Linked DNA regions of Caenorhabditis elegans. The protein of the gene in region 2 interacts with the protein of the main gene of each other region in a pairwise test. Each region holds a gene or a part of one and is shown on either strand. Other genes may lie near its edges.

The links. The genes of interacting proteins can lie anywhere in the genome.
Region 1: the proteins of mab-3 (region 2) and dmd-8 interact in a two-hybrid assay, tested with the Caenorhabditis elegans proteins (one large-scale study listed by BioGRID).
Region 3: the proteins of mab-3 (region 2) and hda-11 interact in a two-hybrid assay, tested with the Caenorhabditis elegans proteins (one large-scale study listed by BioGRID).

The regions. Positions count from the first base shown.
Region 1 is NC_003283.11:334,055-338,050, forward strand, and holds dmd-8 (DM domain-containing protein), read right to left. Parts: upstream 2,397-3,996; 5' UTR 2,385-2,396; coding exon 2,249-2,384; intron 2,093-2,248; coding exon 1,920-2,092; intron 1,871-1,919; coding exon 1,352-1,870; intron 1,081-1,351; coding exon 799-1,080; 3' UTR 547-798; downstream 1-546.
Region 2 is NC_003280.10:9,730,490-9,738,239, forward strand, and holds mab-3 (Protein male abnormal 3), read left to right. Parts: upstream 1-1,741; 5' UTR 1,742-1,813; intron 1,814-2,922; 5' UTR 2,923-2,932; coding exon 2,933-3,075; intron 3,076-4,521; exon of another isoform or gene 4,522-4,522; coding exon 4,523-4,601; intron 4,602-5,279; coding exon 5,280-5,426; intron 5,427-5,795; coding exon 5,796-5,967; intron 5,968-6,472; coding exon 6,473-6,804; 3' UTR 6,805-7,546; downstream 7,547-7,750. UniProt on the Caenorhabditis elegans protein: Transcription factor which binds the DNA motif 5'-[CGA][TCA][TA]ACAATGT[AT][TGA]C-3', probably as a monomer.
Region 3 is NC_003283.11:10,524,563-10,528,990, reverse strand, and holds hda-11 (Histone deacetylase 11), read right to left. Parts: upstream 2,808-4,428; 5' UTR 2,682-2,807; coding exon 2,671-2,681; intron 2,603-2,670; coding exon 2,378-2,602; intron 2,181-2,377; coding exon 2,070-2,180; intron 2,024-2,069; coding exon 1,932-2,023; intron 1,866-1,931; coding exon 1,753-1,865; intron 1,197-1,752; coding exon 1,042-1,196; intron 994-1,041; coding exon 855-993; intron 754-854; coding exon 595-753; 3' UTR 547-594; downstream 1-546. Other genes in the region: F25D1.3 (Interleukin-17), read right to left, coding at 96-227; xpo-7 (Exportin-7), read left to right, coding at 3,121-3,135, 3,182-3,319, 3,369-4,196, 4,247-4,428.

The DNA of each region.
Region 1 (3,996 bases), on a different chromosome or scaffold from region 2:
TACAAAAAAACAGGTCATGTTAACCGAAACAAAATTTCTAATTTTTTAAAGATTTATTTTAAATTTTTCAAAAATTGAAAAAAATCTGATTGTGAGATTTCACTGGTAAATGAATTTTTCGGCCATTTTTTTCAAATTTTCAACCATTGTCATTAAAGGAAACTTGACAGGCCGAAAGGAATTGGGTGAAACTCTAAAACTGGCCTGAACTTAACATTAATTTTTTTGCTGTAAAATGCATGCAAATTTGACAGATCACGTCTCAAATAAAAAATCAAAAAAAGTGAAACTGCTCAATTTAGCCGGAAAGCTTATTTTTGGAATAGCAAAATTTGAAAAAAAATTACAAAAAATTCTACAAAATATATATTTGAATTTTAACATTTAGTTTTTTTTTAATATATGGGATTGCTTCCTGACGTTTTATGCAAAAAAGGCCGTGAAATTTCTAAATCCAAGCTTAATTCCAGATATGGTGGCTGAAAATTCGGAAAATTCTCTGTAAAAACCGTGACTTTATAATTCAATTTCTAGTCGAGTCATAAATTGATAAGAGTACAATTTTATTAATTTATCACTTTTGCAGAATCAAAAAAAAGTTTTTGGAAATATAAAACACAAAAACATCAAAATATTATTATCATCATGTTTGAACTGAAAACCCGCACAGCTTAAAATTTCGATGGGGTTTTTACTCTTTTTGAGGTGCAACTGGGAAGGAACTAGAGTTTTACAGGGAAAAGACAATAAATCACAGATTGGAAATTGTTTTTTTTTTTGAAAAATTAAAAAGAAAAATCAATCGGTTTCAGCGCAGCTAATTGCAGCGCTAAGCTCACGGATATTCTGAAAATTTTGAAAGTTCTGGAACAACATTTGCATTCCGATAGGGGTCATCAGGAGAGGATTCGGGAAAAGAGTTGGAGCAGCTCCGTACATAAGCGGAGCCGTGAAAAATGGTGAGGCCGCGGTGGACATGAGAGAGGGTACGGTAAGAAATGAAAGCGGTAGGCTTGATGGAGCAAGTTGTGGAAGAGCAATTGGTGAATGCGGAAGGAGAAGCGGCATTGGAGATGTTGTCTGAAAAAAATTTAATTTAGAAATTTTAGAAATTCTGGAAAAAACCTTTTAGAGCAGTTTTTAGGACGAGACTAGTGCATGCCTACATGCCTACATACCTACATGCCTACATGCCTACATGCCTACATGCCTACATGCCTACATGCCTACATGCCTACATGCCTACAGGTTTACATACATACATGCCTACATGCCTACATGCCTACATGCCCACATGCCTTTTCAGGTTCAAGCTGTACCTGAAAAAATTTTCAGAAAATCTGAACCTCACCTCAAATGGAGAACCAGCCGGACTAGTGCTTGCATTTGCCGAAGTCGCTGCAGGAATCATAAATCCCCCGGCACTGAAGTCGAATTTCATCTGAACCTGCGGAGCCATGTTCAACTTCTCTGATAGCATTCCAGATAGCGAGCAATCCGAGGATGAAGCCGACTCGTCCGAATTGCAGCCCGAAGAAGATGAGAGTGACGATGATGAAGCCGTGGTGGAGCCCTCTTTTTTGGGACTTTTCGGTGCGATAGCTTCAACCGTGTTGCCCTTTATGCTCATTTTTCGCTTCTTAATATGCCGGTCCAGGGCACGACGGGAATCAATCAAGTTACACTGTTGGCATTCGCAGCTGGAATATTGGCACTCCTTTTTGTGATTTTTCTTCCAGACGAGCACATTGTGATTCTTGCATTTTTGGCAGAAATAGCACATGTTCATGTTCTCCATGACAGCTTTTTCATCTGCCTCCCCACCTGTGAAGCCTGGGAACACGTTGGCCTCGCTGATATCATTGGTACGCTGAAACACGGGGATAGTTAGGAAAATTAGGAAAAAAATCACAAGGTACCTGGAACTTCTTGTCTTGCTCTCGTCGGAGACGAATCTGAGTTGACATGATCTCCCGTCGCTTACGGACCAAGTCACACTGCTCACACTCGCAACTTCTATATTCGCAGGTGTGCCCGCGCGTCTCTACGAAAACTCCATGCTGCTTGCACATTCCACAGTGCCGTTTCACATCTGAAAATTTAACAAAAAATAAAACTATGTTAGGCGTAGGCCATACTAATTTCTGAAAAAAAATCAGCAGCCGACAGTTAACCAACCATACATTTTTCTACTGACCCTTTCTCGTGAAACCAATTAACTGTCGGCTGCTAAGAAGCTATAGCTCACCTTTCGGGATCCTTTTCCCTTGGCTGAAAAATCTCTGTGCTCCAACATCCGGGGAGAGGCTGTTGTTTGGTGAAAGCCCTTCTGGAGCACTGAGCGATGAGGCATTTGAAGAAGATGACAGGGAAGATGAGGACATGATCAGGTAAGTCTGAAATTTTCCATTTTTCAAGAGTTGGAAAAGTTGAAGCACAAAATGAAATTGTGAGGGCTACAAGATAAGGGATGCTTGAGCTTGATGACCTGATTGGCTGAAATTTTATAGACACTGCGTCAATGGAATATTTACAGTACTTTCAGTCACTTGTCTGAAAAAAAATCTTGTGACATGTTTTACTAGTCGCCTGATAAGGCCCTGGGGGCTATATAGACGATGCTTTCAGAGAAATTTTCAGGGAAAGCATAAGCAAAACAGGAAGTTGTAGAGGCTTGGGCGCGTGACCGAAGTTTTTCTAGTTTTCTTCGGCCACCAAAAATTTCCCTTATCTACAGTAACCTAGCTCCCCTTGGAGCAAAAAAGCTATCGAAATGAATTCACAAATGAAATGGAATCGAAATAAATAAATAAAATTTCATCCGCCTTTCCCATCTTCAATCCAGGAATGAAAGATTTTCTGTATCTGCCGGCTCCGCCTCTTTCTTGAATATCCCTGATTGCTGTCTAACCATGTCTAACGTCTCCGCCATCCCTCCCCACTCATTCGAGAAAATTCGCCGTAAACATTCTATTTTGGCTCTGCGGAGCTATGACGGAATTCTCATGTCGATGGGGGAAATTACGTAGATTCGCAGTTTGCGTAGATAAGGAGGGGCAATCCGGTCGGGGTTTTACGCGGATCAGTATGGAGCAACTGAGCAGTTGGACTAAAAGCCGATTTATTTCATTTTGTTCACAAAAAGGTGGTGCTCATCTCGTTTTGAAAACACTCGAATTTTTTAAAACTTGAAAAACTTGCTGGCCGACGCCTATGACATATGCCTATGACCTCCACCTATGGCCAACGCCTATGGCCTACGCCTACTGCCTACGCCTATGACCCACGCCTACTGCCTACGCCTATGACCTACACTTATGGCTAATGGCCTACGCCTATGGTCTACGCCTACGAAACCTTGGAAAATTCAAAGTTGAGCAAGCTGAAAATCATTGCAAAATGTTTCATAACAACCACAAAAAAACACTAAAACTAAAAAGATTTTCAGAAGTTTCAACAAATCGGATGACAAATTGTGTCGAAAATCAATCGCTCAGAGTGGTTTCAAATTTTGTGTGGAAAATATAAGAAAATCTGTAGCGGATTTTGACGATTGCTAATCTTTTTCTCGCATTGCTTAGCCCTTGTGTTTGAATTATTAGGCGATTTAAATCCATTTCTGTGATTGCCTTTATCATGCTTTTTTTGTTTTGAATGATTTTTTTTCTTTTTCTAAATAATGGAATAATTTTTTAAAATGTTTTTTCTAAACAATGAAATTCGATCTAAATTTGAAAAGGAGCCTGGCAAGCAAGCCCGAAAGCCTCGTTCACCGACTCCAATGCACCAAATTTTACACGCAAGGTTAAAAAAAAATTCTGTACCGTCCTCGATCACTGTCGGCTGCACAAAAAAAACATTTTTTCCAGTAAAAAAAATGTTTAAAAAAACTATACTAAAACATGTAGGAACTAGTTGTTTTATACTAGTTTATGCTCATTTGGGAAATGCTCATTTCTGATCGACAAGTTTTGTTTTTTTGCCACCGTCTAGACG
Region 2 (7,750 bases):
TTTTTTAATCGAAAAGAGCAAACCCTCGAAATAGGCTCCACTTACGCAACAAATCGTTCTCTTATTTCGCTTCGATCGACCACCAGTATTTAAAAGATGGGTGGTCTAGATCTCACAGAAACCTGCACTATTTCAACAAGATAAACACGACGGAATGTTCGTTCACTCTCACACTTCAGCCGTTTTTTTCCTACGAGCGAAACAATCAGCGGGGCGGGTAGTGAGCGAGTTGAGACTGTCTAGACTCGATGTGGTGATCTCTTTGGAGTACAGAGAATGTTCAGAGTAAATACAGTCCATTCGGCAACATTTGAAAACAAGAATTTAGTCAAAATTTATCAGCAATTCCTTTAGAAAGTTGGTTCTCAAACCTAAAATTTTTTAACGACATTTATAAAGTGGAACTGGAAATATCTTTGGTTCGGGAAAATTTGAGAAATTTAAATTACTGAAACTTTAAAAGTCATATTGAAAATTGTTATCCATTGCAGGTCAATAATTTTTGACTGAAACTTCAAATCTTGGTAATTGAAAAACGGTTTGACTAAATAGTGAGTCACTAGAACTTTGACAGTTGGTAAGACAGTTTTCAACAAAACTATTACTTTTCAAAGTTTTTGGTAGCTTCTCTCGAAAACATTCCTAATATATTTTCAGGTCCAAATCAACCTTTACCAAAAATGTTTCCTCTGTAATTTTCTTGTCAATCCCACTTTGTTTCTACCGCTTCTTCTCCTTTCCATTTCGAGGACACAGTCGAGATCAAATGTGTGCGTTGAAACTGCCAATTTTCATTCTCTCTCTGCTAACTGAACACAAGACCTGAAGGTGCTCATTAGGCGAAATTGAGAAATATTGGATTACTGTAGGCTTAGATATGTAATCAATCTGAAACTGGTGACGCGGGTGTTCAGAAAAAAAATTGTGGTTGGGTTGGGGGGTTAAGATTCAAATGAAGAAATGAAAAAAGCTAGTAAAAGCTGAAAGAAAGTACTTAGCTTATGAATATTAATTAGGTCACATGGGAGCAGTTATGAATTTCCAGTCCTAATTTTTTCTACAGCCCGGTGCCGGGATCTTGGCCCTATGGACTGAAAAAAAGCTCAAGAATTGTATTTTTCCTCGAAAAAAAAATATAATTAAGCTTTCTATATAGGCTCCAAGGTTCCAACTTGTGGATCCATAATTCTAGACATAGTTTCAATTTCCTTTAAAGCAAGGTAGGTCACATTCCAGGAATGTTTAATAGTTTTCTAAAATACAGAAAAGTCTAGAAAAGCCTACCCAACGAATGATAATAAAAGTTCGAACAAAACCTATAAAAATTGAGTTACAGGAAATAAAATAAAAAACTAAAAGTTTGCAATTTTCTCTCGTCTCTTCTCTTTCCATGATCACACGTACTTACAGGTGTCCCCAAAAAACGCAGAGATCACACGATTCGCGGAGTGTCAGCCAGAGAAAAAATATGTCGTCGCGAGAACTGATAGCGGTGTCCCCCTCCACCGCCATAGTCTCGGGGCGCCGCTCCCTCCCGATATATGTTTGTCTGGCGTCTCTTACCAGGTTTTCTCACGTTCGGCGTTCTCTAATTATCGTCGTGTGAGGTCTTCTATCCAATCGCGGGTGGCATCAGTCGCCAAAAAAGAGGCGGCGCTTCGTCGCCGCGACTCTTTCTTGCTGGGACCCGCCCCGTTTCACAGGAGGGGAGTGCCTATTACTCCCTCTTTTCCTTTTCTTTTCGATATTTGAATGCTATCGGTGCTCTAGGAGCTCGATCTTGACCCCTTGTTGGAGGAAATTGTACTTTTGGGTAGGTGCTTCCAGTCGATTCAGAATAATTTTTTGGGGTTTTTGAAAACAGTAAAATTATGTGAAAATGTTTCCATCTTTGCGTCTACAATTTGTGGCTGACTTTCCTAACAGTCTACTCTTTGAAATTTTTGAGAAAATGGCTTAACAAAAACTTGAACATTTGATCTGATGTACATTGTAGAAATACTGTAGCTCCTGACTTGTCTGTTTGTCTTGGTTTTAGTCTCTACAAAAAATTATTTCTTGATAAAAACCTCTAATTGATTAAAAATTGAACCTTTTGTAACACGATCAAATGTTGCCAGTTGCAATTAATCGATTTTTGTGATTTTATAAAGTTTGCAGTTAGGTTTGAAAAACTTCAAACGTATTTTATTTAGAAATTTATTTGCTCTTTTTTTCCTTCAAGTCAAATAAGCAATACGGTTCTGTAAATTAATAAAACTTTGTTGCCATTAAATATTGAAATTCCATGTATATCCGTTCTGAAAAATTCTTTATAAGAAAAAATTTCAAACTGGTTTTTAACATTTTTAACTATTGCAGGTTTAAAAACATACAGTAGCCCAACTTTATTCCACATTTAAAGTCACAGAATGAGCCCAACGTTGAATTGAACATTTAGATTATAAAAACGTATTTTATATATGTTTGAGCTATCTGTAATTTTTGAAGAAAAAAAAACTGGTTTCAAAGCTCTCTAAATTTTCTGTTTTAAATTCTCAAAATTCTTAACATTATAGGAAAAGAAAATTTTTTTACTTTACTTTGAAAATTTTTTTAATCCGAAAGATATACACTGGAAACTAGAAAAGATACAGTATTACAAAAAAAATTCGCATTACCAGCTGCTCCTTTAAAAAATTGAAAATTTGTTCCGATGCAAAGAACAATATTTTTGGCGAAAAAATGTTCTTTCTCACAAAAATCAGTCTTGAAAATTTGACTTTTCCACGACATTTTCAAAATTTCGTAATTATTTTATAAGTCAAGATTAGAGTATAGCAGTTTCATATAATGCTTATAGATCCCTCTTTTTAATTCCCTAATTAAAAATAAAAATTTCAACAAAAACAACTAAATTCATAATCTGAAAAAATTTTGCAGAGGAGCTCTAATGCTCACCGAGGATCCCGTATCGGAGATTTGTGAGGCGAAAGCAGTCGATGAGCTCGCCGAGCAAGAAAAAAATTATTATTGTCAGAGATGTTTAAATCATGGGGAGTTGAAGCCAAGGAAAGGTCACAAGCCGGATTGTAGGTGAGCAATGGTTTTTTTTGCATTTTTAAACTACATTTCATCTGAAAACTATTTTGTCATTCCATGTTTCTCCCTCATTCACCCTTAATTATATACATCACGTTTTAATGCTTAAACTCTTGAATTTTTTGATAATTTTGGGTCTTGCAACGATAAAAAGTTAACAACTGTTTAATGAACTTTTTGTAACTTTTGTTGTGCCGAAAAAGTATGTAGTTTATCCATAAATACTCCAAATTCCAAATTTTATCTCAAAATTGTCGCGTCACCGACCTTATTCACCCACCATCAGTTTTTTTTTTCGCGAAGCCCTCCGACAAAGACACCCGTAAAATTTGAGATGTTCGTCTACCGATTACGATCGGGCAAGAAAAGACGCAAAGCAAGAAAAAACAGCTGACCTTGTCGATTTAAAGCGAAAAATACCACCCATACAGGTGAAATTGTTATTATATGAGTGAGGGGGGTCAAAAACGAATTATTATATGGACGCGAAAAACGGAGGAGAAGAATGGGAAAATGCAAAGAGGCAAAAAGTTATGTTTTATACATTAACCTAAACCATTTTGAAGGTGGTCTAGGGATACTGTAGATGTTTCACCAAGGTGAAAGATGACTCAAAAAGATCTTGCAATGACGACAATTATCACTAAGCTAAATTGAAGATGGATTAGCGAAATCTGGGAAACATTTTAAAATGACTACAAGAGTTTTTTGAATACCTATGTGAAATTTTTTTAATTCCCTGATTTCGCTACTACACATTTAATAATATGTATATCAAGGTGTGTTACTCTTTTTAGGTTTTTTTAAACGCTCGTTTAAAGAATTTGTACTTCTCTGGTTTAAATATCCAAAACTCGCCCGAAACGACCGAATTTCATTATTAGGCTTTACAAAAATAATATCTATCCGGTTAAAAATTAAAAAAAAAACTAGTGAAATTCTGCCAGCTTCTTCTTCGGTCGATCATTTTTTCCAATGTTTAGATAAATTCAAAAAAGCGCTTCTTTTTTTTCGAGATATGTTTGGGAAGTTACATCATGAATTTTGGTTGTTTGGGATCAGTTTGAGACAATTCAAGCAACTAAAAATTTTTCAGCCTTTTTTATTATTTTTTTTGGAACCGAAAATTATTAAAAAATTATGTTTGCTTTTCATTCAAAAATCTTCATTCATTTTTTGACATCCAATCACACAGATACACTCACTTTTCAAACAAACCATTCCACAATGACCTATACAGTCGTAAAATTCCTCACCCAATTTTTTTTTTCTCCCAATTTTTTCAGTTCATATAATTTTTAACAAAAGATAGGGCCTATCTCTATTGTGAAAAGTCTAATAAAATATTTGAATGGGTGGGCGGGTTACTGTACAACTACAAAATTCTCCCGTCGATGACACCAAGTGGCACTGAAAAATAAACAAGACGAACATTTTACAGATATCTAAAATGTCCATGTCGAGAATGCACGATGGTCGAGCAGCGAAGACAGTTGAACAATTTGCTAAGCAAAAAGAAGGTGAGTATTCTATAGGGATTCTATGGTAGGTGTGGCTGTAGGTGGCTGTGCCTTACCTCATTCCTGTCTGCCTACATTTCTGTTTCGCGGTGTAGGCGGTCTTGAAGGTTGTATGTGCGTTCTCACGCACTTAAATACCACATCTTATCAGTTCACCAAAAAATCGCAACTTCAGATCAAATCTGACATTTTCAAAATGAAAAGTGGGTTGACGTCTTGGCTTTTTTCTCTTTTTGTAAGAAAAACAATTGAAGATACGAATAGATAGAGTGTGAAAAGCAAAGAAAAAGTGAGAAAAAGATTGATTTTATCGGATTTTTTTAAGGGTAGGTATATTTTTCATGAAGTTGTTCTTTTTCAAAAGGGGCTCTTGTTGTGGCAAGTCACATATAGGTCATTGCCTGGCCATCTATAGGCGTACCTACCTTATTGTTTTATTTCAGTTATTTGTTGAAAGTGTATTTTTAAATGAGAAAAATGCTCACTTTGGACCATGGGTATGCGTGTAGGTATGAGGCAATTGTAGGCTGCATTGACTGCAAGCATTCTTGAGCCTACTGAAAGTTTATACCGAATTTCTTGGTTATTGTTTTTGTGATTGCATTAACTCCTATAATATTACTGTGAAAATAAAACACTTTTTAGCGGGACCCCTTATAAACCTTTCCAAATTTCCAGATCCACTGCACACCGGCAACTCAAACCCGTGATGGGAAGCGTGTCCGTGACCCACACTGTGCTCGGTGCTCGGCTCACGGAGTCCTAGTCCCATTGCGGGGACACAAGCGGACAATGTGCCAATTTGTGACATGCGAGTGTACATTGGTAAGTGTAATTATACTGTCATCATCGGCAGTCAGGCGCCCTTGACAACATTGCAGTTTTTATGCTTTTCAATGTCACCTGCGCGAAGAAATTATAGGATTATAAAAGTACTGTAGGGAAATGGGGGAGTGGCTTGCCAATGAGATTTGAGAATGTGACTTTTTGAAACATTTTGATAAGTTTCAACTATTTCGAAGTATTTTTAATGCAACAGTGCTACGAATTGACTTTTTAAAAATTGTTGTGGAGCAGGCAACTTGGAGCATGCTCTTGGACTGACAGAGAAAGTTGCCACATTAATTTGTGTGAGATTTTTGAAAACGCGTAAACAGAACTACGATTTTCGAGTTTAAAAATATTATTTTTCAGTGTACTCTTGTGGAACACCGTCGAAATCTTATGGCGGCTCAAATCAAATTACGCAGATCACAACAGAAATCCCGAGATGGTAAAGAACCAAAAAGGAACTCTCGTAGAAAATCGAAAGATATGGATATGGAGATGATGGTTGTCACAGCTACAGATGGTCAAAAGATAATTGGTAAGCTATGGGATTTTGTAGAAGTGTGTAAATTGAGCTTTAAGTCAGAATCACAAAAATTGGAGTCTAAACCTGAAATCCAGTCGGAAGTAATTCTAGAGTTGACGGTACGTATTAACGTTATCAGAAACATAGATTTTACCATCAACTCATAGATTATATAAAATGGCTACTTGTTATTTCCAATTTTTCGTACCGAAACAATCAAATACGGGAATATCCAAACGCATCAATAAACAATTACGAAAGTTAAGAGGTTAATTTCAAATATGTCTAGAATCTCAAATTGGTACAACTTCTCAGTTATAGAATATGTCTTTCTGCTTACCTATCAGGCGGGCCCTGCCCTGAAAGTTACTTTGCCTTAAAGATAATTACCACTTAAGCCAATGTATTTTCAAAATTCAGGGGAAGACAAAAAAGTGGTAATTTTGATGCAAATATCAACGCAGACAGTTAAAATTTATATTGTAGCTTCAAAGAAATTAAATCTATAATATTCCAGGAACATCAGCAAGTCCATCTCCATCCTCAACCACTGATACAATGTCCCCATCCCTTTCAATGTCTCCACCATGCTCTCCATCTCCACTTCTGGCTCAATACACTCTGACGCTGGCTGCTCCGATTCCAATCTATCCGCCGATCCCAATGAATCAACAATTGATAAGCTTGCAACAACAACAGTTCCTGATGAGCATTATTCAAAATATGGCTCCATCAATCGGACAACAGGCTCCACTCCTTCCAGGCATTTCTGCAGGTTCTGTCTCATCGGCAGCAATTTTGAATGAGTTCTGGAGTATGTATCTGAAAAATTATGGTCTGCAAGCCTAAGATCTATAATTTTGACCAATTATTGATTTTTAGAAAAATTGTATGTTTCCCTTCTTTGCTTAATTTTCCACACAATCTCTTTTTATCTTTGGTTTCAAACTCAATGATTTTTTCATATTTTCTTGAATTTTCACTTTTTACCAATTTTGTTATATTTTCTAATTTTTTCATTCATTTTTCACCAAGTGAACCAACCAATTTACCGATTTTTTTCTCGTCTTCAAGACCGCTTGTGTTATTCCAAAAATCCCCATTTTTTTTAAATTCAAATAATCTTTTCGTCTCTCACCAAACCACATACTATCTTTCTATGTCTCTTCGCCACCTAATCATGTCATCAATTTCTTCGAAAATTCCCAAATTTCACCGATATTCTTCCGTTTGCATCGATTTCCCACTGTCCCCGCCCAAATTGAGCTGAGCTCCGCCCACACTTTCCCAGGATTACTGTATTGTTTCTCGCTCTGCGTCTCTCATTCTCGTTCCCTCTCTCTTTGTTTTATCTCGGAAAATAGGATCAAATCCTAAACAGTTAACCGGTCCGTTTTAGACACCCCCGGTGGTAATAATTTTGAAAAAAAGTGAAATCATGTTTTTTAATGTTTTGGTTTTAAAAAACCAAACATTTTTTGGAGAGAAAAATGTATAGAACTTCCAAACATACAAACACACGACGCATCGAGTCTAATAATTATTGATTTATTTTTATTATTTTTGATTTTTCAATAAACTTTTCATTTTTAAATCGTCTTGGTTCTGTATGCAAACTTGATCGTACAGCAATTTCCAGAAAAAAAGTTGGCGGCCGAGCTTTCTCTTCCGCGGCCATGTAGAAACCCATAGACAAGGTCTTAGCACGAATGAAACTTTTCCGTTACCGTACCATAGGGTATTTCCCAATTTCTCCTGTTTCAGAAAACATATTTTTTTTAAATTTAAACTTTCG
Region 3 (4,428 bases), on a different chromosome or scaffold from region 2:
CACACTTATTGAATAAATCTATGTAAAAATATCTAACAATATCCAGAACATGCTAGTGAAACTATTTACTCTCAATTAAAAAAACAAAAACTAACCAAACTAGGTGGTTCTTCACAATGTTTATCAGTCCATTTACCATTGACATGCCTTCGAACATTGTGTCGTTTTGCTGTCGTGCCTATCACTACTCCAAGAATTAAAATGAAAGCTGTACGGAAGCAAATCATGTCGCAATCGACAGAAGAATCAAATAAAAGATATAGGCGAGAAATGACTGTGTCTCTCTGTGTGACCCTTTACCCGATGATGACCTAGTGACATCCACATAAAGTGAAAATTTGGGAGGAGTCGAGGATTCATAAAAATTGAAAGTTTTAGGAAAAGTTCATATTCAGAGTACTTTGTATTATTTTGGATTGTTTTATTTTTAATGGAATCGGGTTGATATAGAATGTTTCAAAATCATCCATTCGATTTTAAAATGAAATTTTGAACTTGATCCTTCTATCTATTTAGTTTCCCCTGCCATTAAACAATAAAAAATAGTTTAATAAAAAATAATTTATAAGGAAAAGATATGCTGATATAACTTTTTTATTTGATACTGATGAGATTCTTTGACTGGAGATTTTCAATTGATTTTGCAATGAGAAGCGCGTTGTCCTTCTGATACCCTCCACTGGTTACCATGCAAATTGGAATTCCTTTTGATTTTGCTAGATTGAACACAACTTCGTCTCGAGCAATTATGCACTGAAAATTTGATTTTCAAAAAAATATGCAACATCTTATTTCAAAATAGACTATACACCAAATACCAAACTCGTATAACAATATTCCTTGCTTTCACACACCTGTGGACTCAATTTCATTGCTCCCAGAGGATCACCAAGTAGACAGTCTGTGCCAGCGTTGAACATAATGAAATCGAAACCAGGAGGAGTAGTTTTCTCTCTATCAATTAAACACTGTGCCAGTTGTTTGCGTAATTCGCTAAATAAAGTCGGTCAGTGAAAGCAGAAAGCCGCTATGAATACTTACGAGAGGTAGGAAGTATCAGTCGTATGACCATTTACATGAACCGCTCTGTTAATAAATTGACGAGCTTCACGATCATGTGGATAGACATATGGATTGAAAACATCAAATACAAACACATTCGGATTGTCAGCAAAGTCTCGTGCATGGCCATTTCCCTTAAAGTATGATTCAAGCAAAAAATTGGATTCTTAAATTTTAATAATTTTTTTAAACAATTAATATTGTGATTAATATTTCGAATTAATATCTAATATTTGAGAAATATCTTTACGGGCTAGACATATTTCATTCACGTTCCAAATGGTTTTCCAAAATGATACCGTAGTCTATAGAATTCTTAACGTAACTGTAAGGTAGCTAAAATTTGAGGACAATTCTAACTTTGAAAGCTCAGATATCGGCCATCTATGATTTTAGGCAAAATACTTCCTTCATGTGATGTCAGACTGTCTCATTGCGGTTTGATCTACAAAACATGCGGGACTTTTTCCCAGAAAAATTGTGACGTCAGCACGTTCTTAACCATTCCAAATCAAATGAGATGTCTGCGTCTCAACTCCCGCATTTTTCGAAGATCAAAGCGGAATGGGATTTTCTGACTACACGTGTTCCTTTGAGTTATATGCTGTCAAAGTTGAGCAGTGAAGGTGCCGCACGCATCAATAGAAAATATACGGTATTTTATATTCTTTCAAATGTTTTTTCCAGTACCTGATGAGCATCTAAATCTACAACAATCGCGTTGGCAATTGCCTTTTTGTCAAACAAATCGAAAATTGCCATGGTGATATCAGCGTAAAAACAGAATCCACCTCCGCCCGAATCTGAAATTATAGGCTGCTGTACAATCCCATAGCGTCTATTTTTCTTGCGGAATAACAAAAACATACGAGAAGCATGATGGAAACCACCACCCACGTTGATCGCCCAACCATGTTTTAGAGCCAAATTGGCAGCTAAAACTGTTCCACCGGCTTGTAAACTGGAAAACACAAATAAATGAATACAACAATTACTAGGAATGATACCGTAGTGGATGCAATAACTTGCTTTCAATAATGCACGGTGGAAGGCAACCGACAAATGGAATCTCGACGATTTGTGCTGCTTTAATAGGATTTCGAACACTTTTCAGATATCTAAAATAATATGAATAAATTTTTTTTATTAGTTGAAATTGTTGAACGCCTCATCTAACTTTTTTTTAGAATGTCAACTATAAACGTTATGAGCTTAATTATTTTCTTTCAATTTAAGTATGGGGCCATACAAACATGATTTTTTCATAAACCAATTCCACGATTCAATCACATTCACAACACTTTCATGTGCCTACTTTCTATCATGTACTCTAGTGAGTTCTTCAAATGTCGGTAGATTTGGCTCAACGAGTGTTTCATCAGTGATCAGATTCATTTCTTTCAAATGTGTAATGACTCTTCTCCATTTCGAAGAATCAAATGGATGTAAATGTTCGATTCCAAATGCAGTTACATTATATTCAGAATGATAGACAATTGGACGTTGATAACTTTTTAAACTAAAGATTTCATCTTTATCTCTGAAATTATTGATATTTTTGGCATTTCCAACTGCATGTTGTACTACAGATTAAATTTCAAAACTCACCGCTCTGCCATTCAAAATCTGCGTAGAATGAGTGGTTAGAGCGGATAAATAAAGAAGTAGTCGTAAAGATTCTGTTTTTCTTGTTTTTGTTATCAGAAAACAGATAACGAATTCTGAAAATAGTGGAAACTGCCAAAAGATGCCAATTGTGGCGAGAGAGCCTGTGGGATGTAGAGTAGGATGAGAAAGGATGGCCTAACTTTTTTATCGGCCATCCGCCGTGTACTTCACCAGGACAAGATGTTTCGTCTTTCAGAAACTCAAATCATCACCAAAGTTTGCAGTTTTTCGAAACAATTAACGGTGGGAAGACGCCGAATTAATTTTATCCGTTTTAAACATTCTTTTTGCTTTTCAAAACATTTTTCTCCTCTTTCTCAAGCTATAATTACTTCTGAATTGGATATTTTAGGAGTGAATCGCTGAACAGCGGATTCGAAGTCTTCAAAAATGGATGAATTACCGGTTAGCATTTTCAAAATTCTTAATGTGCATTCTAATCTTATTTTAGGTACTAAACAGTCTATGCAAAGATCTATATGAGAGTGTCGATCCGCAAGCCCGACACCGAGCCGAGAGTAACCTTGCGGAACTGTCAGAGTCACCCGAATGCCTTCAAAGATGCATGCTTCTCTTTGCACGAGGAGATGTAAGTCGAAATAATAAAAGTGTTAAACAATTTACATAATGATTTTCAGTACCCATACGGACCAATGGTAGCAAGCACCACACTAATGAAACTTCTCGGCGGAAAAACTAGCATCACTTCTGTTCAGAAGCTCGAGCTTGCAAAATATTTATTGGAAATGCTAGGTCAAGGTGCACCTCAATTTCCTCCATATCTCGTCACATCACTTTGCCAACTTTTTGCAAGACTCACGAAACAAGAATGGACGTATCAAAATCCCACAGAAAATCAAACAGAAGACACAAAAATTGAATATCCATTTCGTGATCCGGTTGATAGCCTTGTCAAAACAATCAACATGGATAATATCGAGGAAAGTATGCTGGCCGTGCAACTGTTAACCTTACTCGTTGCTGACATGAATTCAGCTTCGGGAATGGATTCAGTTAACAAACATCGCAAGAATCTTTCGCAGTTCAGGGACGATTTTTTATATGAGATTTTCTCGGTATCTCTGAATGTTTTGAACGATAATGTGGACAGAAATCTGAACGATCGCCAATTGGGTCTTCTTCACGCGGTTCTCAACTTGAATCTCCAATGTCTACTTTTTGATTATATAGGAAGTTTGACAGACGAAACAAGTGAAGACAACTGTAATGTGCAAATCCCAACAGCATGGAGAGCAAGTTTTACTGATGGAAAAATTGTACAGCTTATGTTCAAACTTTTAAATGTGCTTCCACAAGAATCAAGTGAAAAAGTGATGACAATAATAGCTCAATTGGCAAGTATTCGAAGAACGCTTTTCAATGGAACAGAGCGACAGGCTTACGTTCAAAAACTTGTTGAAGGAGTTGTCAGTGTAATTATGAACCCTGGGAAGCTTAGTGACCAGGTAAGAATAATGAAAAATTAAAGGCAAACATATTTATATACCTGATTTAGGCCGCATTCCACGAGTTTTGCCGTTTGATTGCTCGTCTGAAAACAAATTATCAGCTGTGCGAGCTCATCGCTGTTCCCTGCTACAGTCACATGCTAAGGTTACTCGCGGAATTCACTGTACAAAGCCTACGAATGATGGAGTTCTCAGCCAACAGTACATATTTTCTTATGACATTCTGGCA